2 linked regions of the Lonchura striata genome follow. The protein of the gene in region 1 purifies or fractionates together with the protein of each later gene. This does not show direct contact. Links are inferred from orthologs where the notes say so. Each region holds a gene or a part of one and is shown in the gene's direction. Other genes may lie near its edges.

Region 1 (8,263 bases):
CCCAACCCCAGTGTTTGTGCTGAAAACATCAGGGAGCTACTGGGGCATGGGGGGCAAAGCCACAGAGTTTATTGCGGAGGCAGCAGCACAATCCTGGGGAGGGGGGCAGGGGGAACACCACCAGCACAAGATCCTCCAAGGAAATGGAGCAAGGAGTCTCCCCCATGCCCACGGGTGTTGTGTGCCCCCACCCCACACACACCTGTGTCCCCCACAGCAGCTGTGCTGGCTCTTGTGGTCCAGGCTGGGGCACCCCACTGCAAAGGGAGCTCCAAGGGCACTAGGGGAGATGGACCCCCCCTCCAGCCAAGTCAGCCCCAGCTGGGGTGAGTGGGGCTCCGTCCCATCACTGCTGTCCCCAGCCCCAGTGGCAGCCATGGTGGGACAGCGACACCGCAGGAGGCTTCAGTGGGGACAGCAGCGCTGGGAGGCGCTGGAAGCGCCGCCAGGGCAGGTCACAGCTTGCGGAAGATCAGGCTCTTGTTGTTGGCCGGCATGTCCACCTGGAAGCACAGAGCGGGCTCGGGGGTGCACACCGCACGGGCAGCCCCCCAGCGCCCATCACCTACCATCCTCTCCAGGCACAGCCCGTTGGCCTCAGCCAGCTCCTGCAGCAGCGCCGTGTCCCGCAGCCCCCAGGCGGGATTCCTGCGGGGAGGGAGGCGCGGGTCACCCCGGGGACACCCCGCCCCAAACCAGCCCCATCAACCAGGGGCACCCCCGGCTGGGGGGCTGCCCTCAGGCGTGGCTTATCTTGAAGGACCACGCTGGGAGGGAGCTTCCTGCGGCTGCAGGGGGGGACAGAGAGGACGGGATGGGCTCCCAGGAGCCTGAGCTCCCCAGCCCCCTCCTACCTCTGCCTCAGGCTGTGGTCGAAGTCCACGTTGCTCTGGGGGCTGATCCGGCCGTCCACGGCATAGGGCTGGTGGGACACAGCTGGAGCTGCAGGCAGGAGCCACCCTGTGCCTCCTCCTCCACCCCAGCTCCGGTTCCACGGACACTGCTGTGTCCCCACCAAGCACAGAAGCCAAGCGGGAAGAGACAGAGCCCCCAGGGAGTCCCGCCACGCACTGTGAGTCCCGTCACCCACTGCAGGCACCCCCAGACCCTGCTTTGGATGAGGTGAGGGAGGACAAGATCTGTCTCCCCCAAAACTGCTCTTTTCAGTTCTCAGAATGTGCCCAAAAAGGCAGAGACCCCCAGAAGCCAAGCCCCTGCATTTTCCAGCTCTCCCCCTAAGCCGTGACTGCAGCTGCCCTCCCACCTGCCCCCCCAGTATCCACTCTGGCATCCTGCACCCCCAGGATGCTCCTGCACCAGGACAGGTGACCCACCCCATAGGTGAAGAGCACACCTCCAGGCTTCAGCAGCACCCCAGCACCCTTGAACAGGCCCTGGGGAACGAGAGGCGGGGACCAGGTCAGGGGGCTGGGGAACGCCCTGGGAGCCCCCTCGGCCTGGCAGGGGAAGGGGCTGTCAGGGCTGCTCACCTCGGTGCACCGCAGCTCTGCGATGTGCATCATGTTGATGCTCACGATGAGGTCGAGGGAGGCGGGCTGGGTGCCCCCCCAGGTCTCCCAGCCCTGGGACACGTCCAGCAGGATGGGGGGCAGCAGGTTGGGCAGCCCTGCAGCCTCCACGTAGGCAGCGATGCTGTGGGCACCAAACCCCGCCTCAGGCCCAGCCGGGTGCCCCGTGCCCCCCAGCAGGTGCTGCAGGCAGGGACAAAGCCCTGCGTGGGCTCTCAGAAGTGGAGGAACACCCACAAAGGGACGTGGGTGCAGCACAGCCTGGGGCTCCTTGCCCAGCCCTTTGCTTGCAGCTGCCAGATGGAGAACTGGGAGTGCCTGGATAACCAGCAGCATGTGGACACAGAGGCCCCAGGGCCAAACCTCCCCAGTTTTGGAGCACCGTCCCCTTGTGGGGCACCCCACGGGCACCACTGCACCAGCACCTCCTGATTTTGCTGTTATTTATGTCCTTTTTGGCACATTCACCACCTAGGTCTCAGCTCCTGCAGCCTCCCAGCCTGGAGATTATTTTTACCCAGGGTGGTGGGTGCTGCTGGGTGGGCAGCACCAAACTCCTCCTGGACAGGAGCTGGTACCAGCACCTCCCCACCAGGCTAATTATTTTTCTGCGGTGGAAAACTGAATTTTGGGAGTTTTCTGGGAAAAATAAAGCTGGGGAGCTGGGAAGCATGAGTTGTTTGGGAGTTGGCTATTGGGGATTTATTGAAGAAAATATAGTGAGTATTGACCTGGGGAGCCTGGGCTGGGCAGGACTTGAATATTGTGGTCTGCCTGGAAAAAAATAAAGCATCAAGCCAGAGAGTCTGGACTGTCCAAGGGGGTATTTGCTGGGAAAAAATAAACATTAAGCTCATCTGAGAGCAGGATATTGGGGTTTTCCTGGAAAGAATACAGCAGCAAGTGGGGGAGCCTGGGCTGCTGGAGAGTCGATTATTGGGTTTTTCCTGAAAAAATAAAAGAATCGTGGAGCCTGGGCCCACTGCTGAGTAGGCCTTTACTGGGAAAAAATATGCATCCAGTTCATCCAAGAGCTGAATATCGGGGTTCTCCTGGAGGGAACAAAGCACTAAGCAGGAGAGCCCGGGCTGCAGGAGAGTCGGACGCTGGTGTTTTCCCAAAATCCCCGAAATAAATAAATAAATAAATAAATAAAATGGGGAGCAGAGAGCGGGGGCCGCGGGTCCATGGTCCGTGGGAAGGGGTGCCGGTGGAGCCCCCGGGGTCCCCGTCCCCCCGGGACCCCCGGCCCCGCTCACCTGCGCAGCGCCCCGGGGTCGATGTCCGAGGGCTGCCAGCGCGCCTGCGGCAGCGCCCGGGCGAAGTGCGCGGCGTGGAGCCCCGCGCCCGCGCCCACCTCCAGCACCCGCAGCGCGCCCGCGCCGCTCCCCGCGCACTCCCGCAGCACCGCCAGGATCGGGCCCTTGTTGCGCTCCGCGGCCGCCGGGACCTGCATGGCCGGGCCGGCGGCGGAACTACAGCTCCCGGCCCGCCCCGCGCCGCGGGCGGAGCCCCCACGGCAGGGGAAGGAGAAAGAAAACTGCGCCGCCCGGGAATCGAACCCGGGTCGCAAGAATGGGAATCTTGCATGATACCACTACACCAGCGGCGCGGCCGGCAGCCGCCGCCTCCCGCCGCCCCTCGGAGCTGCCGCCCCCGCGGGACCCCGGCCCGGCCGCCGCCGCTCCGCCGCCACGCAGCGGCACCCCCGAAAGGGACAAAGCGAGGCTTTGCGCGGGCACCCCAGGAAAACGGAGGCGAGGGGGGACCCCCACCCGCCCTTTCCCGCGACAGCAGTCACCGGTGATGGAGGTCCGGAGGGATCCACCTAGAGCACAAGGATTAGGGGTTCAGGCCTTCCAAGCGTGGAAAAGGTCAGGGGTGCGCCAACAGGCACTTAGAAACCCCGGGCAGGTCTGCGGGGAAACTGAGGCACAGCCGCCAGCACGTTACATGCCAGTAGTGACATCCCATGGGTCAGGGTTGTTTTTAGGCACAATAACAGGGCTGGGGGTGACAGCAGTGGATGCACACCCCCAAAAGGTCTGCTCCTGCCTGGCACCCACCAGGGTCAGGCGCTGCTGGGCTTTTATGGGAGGTACCCTCTTACACGCCTCCCTCGCTGGCCGCTACCGGGGCAACGTGGCGGAAAGGCGAAGGTCACCCTCGTGTTTATCACACGATCTCTCCCCAAAACTCCGGGTGCTGTCGACAGCCACAGGGGCGGCCGGTGGACACTGCGGGGTGGCCGGGGTCCAGCTCGGGGTCGTGTCCTGGGTCTGCACCTCCTGCCACGTGCGGACACCTTGGCGGGACGTCCCCGCTCCAAAGGTTACGGCGCTGGCCGGGACGCGGCTGCCCGCCCCGGCTCCCTGCGCTGGTCATGGGACGTGCAGCTCGGGACTATTCACGGCGCTGTCCCCGTGGGGGTGGCACCTCAGCCCCTGCCTCTGCGCCCCTTCACTTTTCCCTGCCTGGGTCCTTTGTCCGGGGTCCAGGAATGACACCTGTCTGTCCCCTGTGTGTGCCGTGGCTCCAGTGTCCTGTCTCCTGCATGTCCCCGTGCCGGTCCCCCCGAGTTTCCCGTGACTCCCGTGTCCTCTGCGCGTCTGTGCCATCTTGTGTCCCACGTGCCTGCTTGTGCCCTTTCCCCTACTTGAGCCCCGCACGGTCCAATGTCCCTTGTGTGCATTCTGTGCGTCCTGTGCGAGTCCCACATGTCCCCTCTGTGTCCCATGGAAGTCCCCATATGCGCCCTGCTTATGTCTCCAGTGCATGTTCCTTCATCCTGCGTGTCCCCATTAATCCCCACGCGCGCCCCCGATGTGTCCCCGACGTGTCCCCACAACCCAGGCACGTCCCTTACGCAGCACACATGTCGCGTGTGTCCCTGCACGCCTCCCGCGTGTCCCCACGGCCTGTCCCGCGCGTGTCCCCCGCGGCCCCGAGCGGCCGCGCGCTGTCGCCGCGTCCCACCGCTTCCCCCGCGTTCCCTTTAACTCAAGCGGGGGCGTGCCCGGAGGTTGGCTCGGCGAAGCCCGCTGACGCCCGGTGAGGGACACCTGAGGCACTCGGGCAGGGGCGGCAGGGCCGTGGGCCGGGGCCCGCAGGATGTACACGCTGACGCGCGGCCCCAGCAAGCTCGCCACGCAGCGCCGCACAGGTACCGGGGGGCGCGGGGCCGGGGCCGCGGGGGCTCGCTGCCACCCTCGCCGCCCCCTGACGCCCCGCGCTCCCCGCAGGTCCCACGCAGCAGGCGGTGGACAGCAGCAAACTGGGCGAGCTGCGGGGCCGGCCGCAGCCCGGCCCGTGGCCCCCCGCCAGGTGAGCCCCGCTTGACCTTGGGACGGGGACCGGCGCTGGGGCGGCCGCGCCGCTTGACCTTGGGAAGGGGAAGGGGAACGGGACGGCTGGGCCGCCTGGCAGGACGCGGGAGGGGACGCGGGCTCTCCGCTCGGTGCCGCTCGCCCCGGGGGTCTCAGCGCTGCTTGTGCCCGCACGCGTCCCGCGGAGCTCTGTGCACGCGTGCCGGGGCAGCCCCGCGTCCAGGACACACCGGAGCGCCGGTCCCCCTCCTTCCCACGGGCCGTACCCAAAAATCTCGGGGAGTGGGCCCAGGGGGTCACGCCAAGGAGGCGGCGCGGCGGGGTCCCGGTGCGGGGCAGAGGCGGGGCCGCTGGCGCAACCCCCACCCGCCGCCGGCCCCGATTGCACAAACCGGGCGGCGGGGCCAGCGCCGGGCCCGCCCGCTTGGCCGCGCCGCGCACCCACGGGGGCCGCGGAGCCCACGCGGAGCTGGCGATCCCCTCTGCCCCAAAAGCAAGGGCGACACTTGCTGGGTGAATTTGTGTCCCGCAGCAATACCTGGAGCTGCTGGCTGGGTGCTGTGGGGTATTCCAGTGGCTGGGGGGTGGTGATGGGACCCCTAAGGAGACTCTTTCCAAACTTGAGGGCTGGAGTCACAGCACACCCAGACAGGATAGTGGGACCCCGCTGTTTCTGCACCTCCTCTCCAGCTCCAAGAAGTGGATGGATGAGCCTCCCCCGCCAGTCCCTCTGCTTTCCAGGATCTCTAGAATTCACTGGAGTGGCTTCTGCCATGCTTGCCCTCCTCCTGTCTGCCCAGTGCCCCTGGATGTGGGGGCTACAATGTCACTGCCCTCCCCAGCCCCTGCCTGCAGATCTGCAGGAGCTGCCTGCTCCCAGTCTCTCCTGCCCTCCAAACCCACTCCTAGGGCCTCTTAGACTTTGTCCCATGAGGAACGTGGCTGTTGCAGACGTGTCCTGCCCTGGAGCTGAGCAGAAAAGCCAAAATACTGGAGTTTTGCACTGAACATGCTCCCAAGTCTCATCCCAAGTTTTTCCTTTAGCTCTGGTGGGGGTTGCTGCATCCAGGGAGGGAGTGGTTGAAGTGCCCCTCAGCAGAGGGCATCCCAGCTCTGAGGAAGCCTGACCTGCTCGTACTTTTCAGAATGTAACATCCCAGTCCTGGGGCGCCTTGTGTGCCCCATGCTGGGGCCAGAGCTGTTCCAGTGAACCTGAGTGCTTGATCTGCAGAAGATGGCACATCTTCTGTCCAGTACCTGACTGGATTTCACTTCCATTTCCTCATGTTCCTGCAATTTTAGTGGCAGATTCTTTATCTTAGGGACTGCACTTGGTGCTAGATTGCAGGATGGGTGGGAGATGGGCAGCTGGTGCTTTTCCCCAGGGAGCTCCCCTTGCACCCCTCCTGTGTCAGAATCCCCTGCCCCTGGGGGCTGGGTCCCTTTCCATCCCAGTCCTTGAGGACAAGGCTGGGTGACCACAGCTGTGGGTGAGTGTGTGCACCGTGGGGGAGCCCAGGACACCTGAACCACCCCAGTTCTTGCTGGGGTGCGCAGAGCTGCCTGTGCCCTCATCCCCCTTTGCTTCCCTCCTCCACAGTCCAGTGCAGAAACTCGTCTTCAACAGAGTGAACGGCAAGAGGCCCCCCCTGCTGCTGCAGCAGATCTCAGCCCCTGAAGAATGCTACACCCTGGCCCACGAGGAGAATGTCCGCTTTGTCTATGAAGGTGAGGGCAGAGGGTCCCTGGGGCAGCACCCAGGGGACCTGGAGCAGATGGAGTCCCTCCATGCCGGGGACATCGGTGGCAGGCATGGAGTCCCCGGCCTGGGGGCTTGCCCTCCTTTGCTCCACCTCCTGCTCCTGTCCCACAGCCCCCCACACTGGGGACCCCCATCCCAAACCCATGCAGCGCTTGTTCCCCTCTCCAGCCTGGCAGCAGGTAGAGCAGCAGCTGGACGGCAGCCGGAGCGGGGAGAGCGCCTGCGGCCCCGTGCAGTATGTGGAGAAAACCCCCAACCCCGGACTCAAAAGTAAGTGGGCAGTGGTTGTGGCACTTTGGGGTGCATCAGGCTCGGGGTGCAGTGGCTGTGGGCTCAGTCTGCATCTGAACAGAGCTGTGGTGGAAGGACAAGGAGGATTCCAGTGCTGGACGTGCCAGAGGGGCTGGTTGGGTCACTCTGGGGGTGCTGGGGGGAGACAGCTGGCCCCAGGCACTGTGGTGGGGATGTTGCACTGCGTCCCTTGGATGTTCCACTCTGTTGCTGACTCCTCTGGCATTCAGGCCTTCTCCTGCCACCAAGGGGCTCAGGATCATGCTGGAGAGAAAGGAGGCACCTGTGGAACCCACTTCTCCTGGGGCCAGCAGGAACAATTGGGCATGGGGACAACACTTGTCTGGTGGCACCCGGAGTCAGCAACCTGCAGGTTCTTGCAGCAGCTGAGAACTCCCCAAGGAAGAGAATGTTCCTGTACACCCAGTCTGGCCTTTTGGGGACATGGCACAGAGGTGGAGGAGGCTTGGGGGTGTCATTAGATTGGATATCAGGGAAAGGTTCTTCCCCCAGAGGGTGCTGGGCACTGAACAAGCACCCCAGGGAATGGGCACAGCCCCAAGGCTGCCAGAGCTCCAGGAGTGTTTAGACAAAGATGTCAGGCCCAGGGTGGGATTGTTGGGGTGTCTGTGCATGGCCAGGAGCTGGACTGGAGGATCCCTGTGTCCCTTCCAGCTCAGGAAATTCTGTGATTCTGTGGTCATTTTTTCTGGGGTTTGGAAGAGGGCACCCAGAGCTCTGCTCCTGCTCCAGCTATTCCCCTCTCTCCCTCCCTTCTTTTTCAGACTTTGTTCCCATCGACCTGGAGGAGTGGTGGGCACAGCAATTTCTGGCCAAAATCGAGAACGGCTCATAAAAGGGAAGAAAAGGTTGCGTTTGGTTTCTTTAGAAGAGAAACAAAGCTGCGAGCAGCTGGTGACAGCCCAGCATCGGTGGTGTTCTTGAACCACGTTTTTAAAAGATGCCCAAAGTGGAGTGAGCCAGCCCAGAGGGACCGGACCACAGCCATGCCCGGCCACGCGCCCTCCCCGTGCCCCGCAGAGGAGCAGCGTGCAGCCCCAGCCAGGATTCCTTAAGTGCCAGTTCTCGGACTGCTGCAGCTCCTGCAGCCTCCAGCTCCAGGGACACTGCAGTGCCACGCTGGGGACAAGGGAGCGGCTCCCCCCTGCAGCACGGGGAGCACAGGGGGAGCTGCAGCAGGACCGCCCGACAATAAAGCGCTGAAACTGCCCGTGGAGCTGCGCTCGTGGCATGGGGAGGAGGGGGAGCAGGGGCTGCAGCATCGTGTCCTGGAGGGGATGCGCCTGGCTGACTCGTGGCTCACTGGGAACCTGGCTTCTCTGGATTCACGGGGT
Region 2 (8,800 bases), on another chromosome or scaffold:
AGTGTGTCACCTTGGGAAGTGACTGAGAGCCTGGAAGGGAGTGCTGCCTTTGCAGCCGGGGTGTGCTCAGACCCTGCTGCTTCCAGAGCCACGAGGAGCTGTCGTTCCTGCAGCTGGAATTGTGGCACTTGGCTCCCTCAAAGATCCAGGTTCCAGTGGAAACCTCCCTGCGAGCCAGCCTGGATGCAGGACTCTGAGCTGCAATGGTGGCTCCAAAATCTCTGAAGGCTGAGGTTTTCCATGTGCCACAACTTAAACAAGGAGTGCTGTGGAAGCCCTGCCAAGTTCAGAGCCAGATGTGAGAGAGGAGATCCCACCCTGGACATCACCAAGGATTTCTAGCACTGCAGTGCTAAGTACTGCAGTTAATTCCACTGTACAGTTAAATTTCAGTGTCTATTCTCACACATTCAGCACTGTTGGAGTCCAAATAAAAATACCTGACTGTTCCCTTCAAACCCTTCCCTGCAGAGATGCTGGGGATGTGCTGCCAGCACTGCAGTAGAAAGCTCCTCTGGTTTTCACAAGGGACACTTCCAAAAGGCCCTTGGCCCCCAGGATGGGCTGAGGGTGAGTATGGGATCCATTCAACCCTTTTTCCATTCTTCAATAAAAAATGTGGCCAAGGAAGAAGACATTGCTCCCTGAGCCATGTGGTTGCTGGAAGTGCTTGGCCCTGCTCACAGAAACTGCCTGGGCTTTCCCATCTCCATGGATGGAGCCTCACTTGATGCCCATGTCCAGGACTGGCGGGTTCCACCTAAAGCCAAAATCCCAGATCTGAGCCCCACGTGAGACATCCCAAAGGAGGGGAAAGTTTCACATCCCACTTCCAATTTGCCTGATGATTTTAGCACAGTGAACAGGGGAAAGAGCACCAGAGGTAACAAATTCAACCCTTTCCAAACACAGTCATGTGGTTGTCATCTGCCAAAAACATAAACCACAATCATAATCCTAAATTTGTCCTTTGAACATACCTGTGCCTGCTCTGTAGTAGTTTCCTTCTAATCCTCAGGGATTAATCCTGAAGCACATTGAAACATCTGAGGTGAAGGGCTACTGTGGAAATTCCTTGCAGGCTGGTAATAACAACTGAAAGCTGCTCTGCGAAGCAAACCTGAGGCTGACTTGGTTTTTAATGGACATCTGTCTGTAGGGGGAAAAAATGCCATGGCAACTGCCTTTCTTGTTGGCACGGCAGCCTCAGCGAAGGGCTGGGGAGAGGATGGGTATGGGAGGGTCTGTGTGGCTGTGCTGGGAAACCTGGAGGTACAGCTCGGCCAGGCTGGGAGGCAAAGGTTGTTTATGCTCTGTGAGCACCAGATCTTGAGGGATTTAACAGCTAAATCTTGGCATAACGATTGCTTTGTGTGCTGCTGCTGCTGCTGCTGCTTAGCAGGAGCCAGGCTGGGTTCCCCCCTCCTCTTTCTAAAAATGTGAAATCTAAAGGCAAAAAAGCACCTGGCTGGTGATTTCCTGGTGCTTTGCTGGGCAGGGTTGCTGTCTCCCAGTTTGCAGCTCTGTCCCAAGAATCGCTGCAGAGCCACGGCATCATCAGATGGATCCTGGAGCTTTGCTGGCTGAGGAAAGAAATGCCCTTGTTGTGTCCAAGGGCTGTGGAAATTGAGAACAAGGGTCATTCAAGGGTTGATAATGGGTGCACAAGCTCTGACACTTCTGTGCCTCCCTCCAGAGCTCCGTGGACATCAGCATTTCCCTTCATCTCCTGCTGGTTGCAGGAGAAGCAGCTGGATGCATGGCCCAGCAGGGACATCCATCAGCCATGCCCTGGCTGCACGGCTGAGGATTGGGAAGAAATGGCAACAAAACTGCAAGTGCAGATCAAAAACTGAATCTGATGGGAGCTGGTCTCCGCTCAGAGCTGAGCTGGGAATTTGGGAGCTGGAAGCAATGGGAAGATCAGGGTAAGGGGGGAAGGCAGAGGTGGCAGCAGCTGCTCCACGTGGCTGGTTTGGAATTTGGGGTTTGGTTTTGCTGTGGTACCAATCCTGGTCTGGCCAGGGGTGTGTCCTCAGTCAGAACTGAGGGCAGCTTTGGTGACGGGCTACATCGTATCTCTCTGGGAAGCTCTGCCGTGTGTCAGCACCTGATTTGTTCTCTTAATATCCTTCCAAGTGTTTGGAGATCCCTGTGCTCACAGCACTGTCCACAAAGCTTTACCCTCCGAGAGGAGGGGTGGGGATAATGGCACCGAAGAACTGAAATCTTCAGGGAAAACACGTGTGTGACAAAGCTCAGCTCTCTGAGCTTCTCCAGCAGCTGATTTTGCTTAAAGCAAACCCCTGTGCCTGTGCTGCTGTCCCCGTGTACCCAGGCGTGTTTTGTCTTGCTGGATGCTGTTGAGGATCACCCTGGGTAGCTCAGGGAAGGGAGCACAAGACGAACAGCAGGTTAGATCAAGGAAATGTTACATCACACGGCACTTCCTGCTAAGTGCTGCTATTATCAGCCTCATTCATCTCCACATGCAAATACAGCCTGCACACGTCGTCACACATCTGGAGGGAAATAGCAGTCCTGGAAAGGAGCAGCTCTGACCTGGATCGTGGACAGGAGAGGCAAAAGGGAGCATGATTCTCCACTAGGAATTGTTTCCTTGCTTTCTTGATTGAATCCTGAATTTTTCTCCAGCTAAACCACCACATCCACTGTTCACTGCTTTTTGTCACATCAATGACATCCAAAATGTCAGCTATAAATGGTGGGGAAGAGCAAAAAAAAAAAAAAAAAAAGGGTGAGAAATTGATAAAACCAAGCCATAAAATAATAACTTGGGAATGGTGGGCTATCAAGAAAAGCATATTCAGGAAGAGGTAAAGGCAATGATGTGCCCTAACAACAGTAGAATCCCATTATACTGGGAATTTGGGGAGGAGGAGGTGTCCCTGGAGAAGGTGGCTGCCACTGGAAACCACCCTGTAGCTTCTCTGGTGGTAATTGCTGAGCTATATTAAATGATCACTTCTATATTTACTTTTAACCTGCTTTTTTATAAAGATGCTCAACAAAGAAAAAAGGGAGGGCACAACGAAAGCCAAACGGAGCTTAAGAAAACAAAGAATACATTGAAGGGGAAAACAAGTCAAACTGCAACTGCTCTTGAGTCATTACTGAGGATGTGAATGCCAGCCCATTCATACCCTGCTTTCTGAGCACGTAATGTCACCCTAAAATGTACTTTGGTGTGCTCATGTAATGTCTTAGAAACTGTCTCTGCCTGTGGAACTTGGTTCAGGTATTTTTTGACATTTCTGGCTATCAAGGGCTCCATCTTTGCCCCACAGCCCCTTCAAACTGCTGCAGGTGCTTTTGTGGTCCTTAATCTTCAGCCACAGAAATAGTCACTAAGTGCTGTGAGCTGTGAACATTCCAGGCTGGAGAAGTATTGAAGTGATATCTTCTAAAAACCCCACGTTGAGTGACCTGGATGAGTTCTACTCACTCTCTTATCAGACTTCCTTGTGCTTTTTATTAACAACTTCCTTTTCAAAGTTGCTCAAGGTTCATGACTAATCCAAAGCTGTAGAACTTAAAAAGAGCAGCCTAAAGAGATTGGTTCACAGATTTGTGGAATATCCTGAGTTGGAAGGGACCCATAAGGATCATCCAGTCCAATCCTGGCCCTGCACAGACCCCTCAACATCTTCATAGCCTCTTTTGGGCCCTATATATTTCTTAGATTTTTATATACATCTATATACTACTACAACTATTATTATTATCATTAGCGTTGTTATTATTACTACTACTATATTGTTATATATTGTCTTATATTGCTTTTTCATGCTAGTGTGTTTTACACAAATATATATAAAGGATTTTTCTTAGCAGCTTTAGGAATTTATTTATCCTATCACATACAGTGAACCAGATTCCTGCTCTTACAGTGAATGCTCCCAAAATTGGTGCCAGTGGTAACCTTTGGCTGTGCAGGTGCTGACATCTTCCACAGAAACTCTTTGGCTCCAGAAACCCTCAGTGTCCTTCTCACTCAGTTCTGTGGCTGTGAAATAGTGAAGCATCTTGTGAGTTCACTAAAAGGATTAAAAAATGAAATTTCTTTAAATCACCATCTCTGTTAAGAGTATTTTCTATGGGAAAACTCAATGCTGAGCCCATCGGTGTAGGATCTGTCATCTAGCCTAGAAAGTGCTAACCACAAGGTTACTTGAGCCTGTGAGGTAAAACAAAGCAATCAGTTTAAAAGGTAAAATGTAAGGAAAATGCTAATTTAAGAAAGCTGTTCAATATTTTATCTTTTTACCATTGTGTGCTGCCACCCACAACTCTTCCAAGCGCATGGGAAAGCTGTTGCTTTAGGAGCAAGGTGTATAAATAATGCCTGCCTAAGAGCACTGCTCCTTTTTATTCCTTTGGAATCCTGTGGGATTTCTAGAGCATTTCTATGAATAGATTAAACTCTGAGCATTTCGAGTAACCATGGCTATAAATCAATTTAGCTCTTGGTTTTCAAGTTGCATCTGCTCTTACTAATCCTGTATGTGCATTTATTTTATTTATTTATTTTTTTAATAGGCCAGACCAGGCTTTATTTTTGTGTATGGGTTTTGGTTTTGGTGAAATTCCCACTCTGCACCAAGCAGGTTCACAACCACAGCACCCTGGATTTCTGCAGGGAGCCTGCCGATGGTGGGCAGGTAACACGGAGTGAGGGGAGAACTGGCATCTTGAGCGTAAAGATTTCACCCATCGGCGCAATGCAAATTTAAATTTCATTACTAGGAGGGGAAGCCGTGACTGCTCCGAAATGTGTAAGATGGAGGGGCACTGCAGGGAAAGCAGCCATCCTCCGGCCCCATCTTGCTTTCCCCCAGGAGCAGGGATGTGTTTGGCAGCTCTCTGCGGATCAGGGCCTGCCCTCCTCCCCCGGCCTTCCGCAGCCGCCCGGGGCTCGGCCATTTTTCCTCCATTTCGTCGTCTCTGGACGCTTGGTTTCTTTTGAACGATGCGCTGCGGGCCGAGCCCGCCGCTCGCTGGGGCCCGGGGAGGGGCGAGCGCGGCCGGGCCGCACCAGGCCGCGGCCTGCGGGCCCGCGGCGCGGGGACCGCCGCACACCGTGGGCCGTGCGGGGCCGGCCCGCCGGTGTCACCGGAGGGGTTTGAGCCGGCTCGGGGACTCCCCCGACCCCGCCGGGGCCTCACGGCCGGGCCGGGCGGGCGCCGCCGCCGTCCCGCGCCGCCGCCGCCTCACGTGTCCCCCCCTCCCTCCCCGCCCCTTCACCCGCCGCAGCACCGCCGCCGCGCCCTCCGACTTCCCGTAAAGAGTCCGCGCCGCCGCCCGCCCCGCGCCCGCCGCCGCAGCCCCGCCGCCCCTCGCCGGCCCCGCGGGGGTGCCCCGAGCCCGCGGCTGTGGCCGCCGCGCCCCCCGGCCCCGCCGCCGCCCTCAGCCCGCGGCGCGGCCCGGCCGCCGCCCGCCCCCCCCCCCCCGCCCTCCGCGGATCCCTCCGCGCCGCGCTCCGCTCCCTCCGCCCCGCTCGCACTGTTTGGGAGCAACCGGCCGAGCCAGCGGCGCCCCGGCCCCGCCAGCGCAGCGCGGACCGGCCGAGCGCACCCAGCCCGGCGCGACTCCCGGCGCTCTCCCTTCCCTCCTCGCCATGTCCCTCAAGCAAGCGGCGGCGGCGGCGCAGCCCGCCGGCAACAACCGCAAGCCCCCCGGCGGCGGCGGCCCCGGCCTCCCGTCAGCCGCGGGGAGGCAGAACATGGGCAGGTGGGTGCGCAGTGCCACGGGACCGGCCCCGGGCCCGGCGCGGGCGCCGCTCGCCCGCCCCCGCCGCCCCCTTCCCCCCCGCCCTCGCCCCGCACCGGCCTCCATGGGCGGCGGCGGCCGGCAGGGAGGGGGGGCGCGGGGCCCGCAGCATGGCGGGGCCGGGGCGGGGGCCGCGATGGCGGCGGGCGCGGCGCTCGCGGCCCCGCCGAGGGGGTTCCGCAGTGCCGGGGCGAGGCCGGGCCGCGGCCGGTGCCCTTCAGGCGCGGGGAGGGCACGGCGCCGAGGCTCCATTTCGGCCCCCCGCGGGGGCCCGGGGCGGGGGGCGCCGCTTCCCCCGGGCCGACGTGACCCGCCTGCTGAGGAGGGAGCGGGGGGAGCGGGGGGCGCGGGCCGCACGTGTCGGGGCCGGCGCGGGAAGGGCCGCGAGCGATGGCGGCGGGGCCGGGGGGCGGCCCGGGCGGGGAAGGGGGCGGCGATCCGGCCCCGCGATGGCGGCGCAGCGCCCTCGGCTCACCCGGGGAGAAGGGGGATATTAAAATAATTGTGTTTTTAAAATTTATTTTAATATCTGGGGATCGCTATTATTTGTAAAATTTTTTTAGCTTTTTTTTTTTTGTTTTATTTATTTATTTATTTTTTTTAAATAATGGAAATCACAATAAAATTCTCGCGGGAAGGCGGGCCTCGCCGCGCCGCTGGATGGTGGCTCCGAGCGCGGCCTCGCTTTCTCCCAGATTTTTGGGGCAGGAATCTTGCAGAGGCTGAGCCCGCTCCTCGCCTCCCCCCCACGCTCGCTGCCTCTGAGAGATTGATCCTGCTCCTGCTCTCAGATCATTAGCTACGCAAATCCACTCACATTTCCCCCCTTTCTTTCCCCTCAAATAATAAACTCCATAGTGCTGTGAATTTTTCCCGGGCTGCGGGGGTCATAACAAACGATCAGAGCAGGACGTTAACAGTTCTGAAGGTCACAGTCGCTCAGAGCAGTTTCATTTCGAGTTTTATTCATCTTCCTCTTCACAACTGGACGTTTAATCCCACTCGGTTTTGTGGCACTGGCAATAAAACAGAATTTACAGTGGCCCCATTGTTGGACATCACTGGAAATAGGGTTTTACTTTGTTCCCAGCCAGTGGAACTGGAAGCGGAAGAGCTTTGGAAGGGTTGAAAAGGACAAAATAAATAACAACAACAATACCTCAGCAGCTCACAGCACCGATTTAATAGTTTTTACATATGGCATTAGGTGGGACATGATGTTTACTGGGCTCTGTCCCTGCCAACACACAGTGGCACTGTAGAGGTTAACGTGAAGGGCAACAAAACCTCCAGCTTATTTTTTTAAATTCAGCCTGATGGCAAGCACTTACCCCCTTAGATTTGGACATGAGATCTTTGAATTCTCTCCCAAGTTTATGATTAAAGCCACTAGATTTCTCCTCCCAGTGTTGCCTTTCTGGTTCTATTGGATAAATTCCACTTCAGAACTCCCTAAGGAGTTCTGATGGGCCTGCTGAACAGCTGATGTGTTCCCTCAGAAGGGTTCATGCTCTTTGTTTCTTAATTTTTCAAGTTATTTCTGAATGGAGGGTCTGTAAAATCACAGTCCCAGGCCTGCTGGAGCCCCATGGAACACCTTCAGAGGACTTCCCCTGTAGCTGTCCTTGGACTTCTGGGGAGTGCAAATTCAGATATGGTTCATTCTGTAAATCTGGCCACGTGAATGAAAATTTAGGTGTCCTGCATCTTGGTATCAATTTGATGCATTGTATTCTTTAATAAAAACTTGAACATCTCCAGTGTATGTCAAGCTTTCTGCCCAGCAGCTCATTTCCCTGCAGCACCAACATTCCGTGCAGAAAAAAAAAATAAAAAAAATACTACTTTTCATGGCTAAGTTGCTCTTGAAAGCTTAGTTTGGGCAGAAAAGTCATTGATAATTAACTGTCCTGGGCCTCATTTTCTGCTGTGGGTTTGTTACTGGAAGAATTGGGCTGAGCACTTGTCCTCCTACCTCTGATCACGAGGGAAGGGTCAGCTCTGCTCGCTGCCTTGTCTCCATGGGTTCATACTGCTGCACATCTGTATTTCAGATTAGAAAAGGTAAAATCCCATGTGAACAAGCAGTGGTTTTTTTTACTGTCCTATTAATTGCTTTTGGACAAAGGGAAAAATCAGAAATGAAGGCATCCTTGAAGGTGTGTGAGATAAAAAAGAGGCCCCAAGTGGAGTGCTGTGTTTGTTTAATGTGCACTATGGCAGATGGGCTTGGGCTGCAGGGGAGATGCCAATAGCACAGCAAGCTGTAATTAGGGAGAATGTAGACTTGGTTCACAAACTTGCTCCCTGTGCTATCAGAACATTATCTAACATCTACTTTCTGTGTTTGAGCGGAGTTTTGCTGTTATGCAAGCACAGGAGGGTTAGCTGTCCTCTGGCTGCAAGTTGCATCTATCACAGCCCTCCTCCATCTCCGTCCTCTTTTTGTTCCTTTTTTCCCTATTGTTATTTTATCTGAAGATAAAACACCTCACGGTCAGGGTTTGGATGTTTCTTGTCTTGTTACAATTGTGGCAGAAGGGATTTTTCATTTTGGTAACTTGCTTGCCTAACTGGGCTTGGGGGATCCTGTAAGAATACACAGAGTTTCTGTCCTTTAAAAAAAATGTATTTTTCCCATCAAAAAGCTAAAACTGAAACCACCTCATGGTAAAAAAAAAAAAGAAAAGAAGACACAAACTTCTTGCCTCCGTTTCTTTTTCTTTTTCCTTGACATCCCTTTCTTGAGAGCATGGTGACTATCCTGTTCAGAGGGAAGGGAAGGGGAATGTTGAATGCCAAGGTGCTGGAATTTAAGGGCAGTGACTGTTCTGAAGGTCTGCTCACACGTGCCAGTCAGAGGTTTTTGAGTTGCTTCTGACATCTTTGTGTGGGTTTTAGTGCTAAACAGCTGAGCAGAATGACTGCTTAACCTGCAGGCCTCTTTCCTTATCACTGTGAGTGCACTTTAGGGTGGTGTTATATCCCTGGTTTTGAGTAACTTTTAATT

What was found.
Region 2: the proteins of MCRIP2 (region 1) and ATXN2 purify together in Homo sapiens (co-immunoprecipitation; 3 studies listed by BioGRID and IntAct, with this or other methods). This does not show direct contact. The link is inferred for Lonchura striata from reciprocal best matches to the Homo sapiens genes MCRIP2 and ATXN2.

What each region holds. Positions count from the first base shown.
Region 1 is NC_134618.1:2,610,313-2,618,575, reverse strand, and holds MCRIP2 (MAPK regulated corepressor interacting protein 2), read left to right. Parts: upstream 1-4,561; 5' UTR 4,562-4,640; coding exon 4,641-4,692; intron 4,693-4,771; coding exon 4,772-4,853; intron 4,854-6,455; coding exon 6,456-6,583; intron 6,584-6,785; coding exon 6,786-6,887; intron 6,888-7,693; coding exon 7,694-7,764; 3' UTR 7,765-8,139; downstream 8,140-8,263. Other genes in the region: METTL26 (methyltransferase-like 26), read right to left, coding at 456-503, 570-648, 855-922, 1,335-1,394, 1,491-1,653, 2,789-2,985.
Region 2 is NC_134620.1:11,794,644-11,803,443, forward strand, and holds the start of ATXN2 (ataxin-2), read left to right. Parts: upstream 1-5,608; 5' UTR 5,609-5,638; coding exon 5,639-5,751; intron 5,752-8,800. UniProt on the Homo sapiens protein: Involved in EGFR trafficking, acting as negative regulator of endocytic EGFR internalization at the plasma membrane.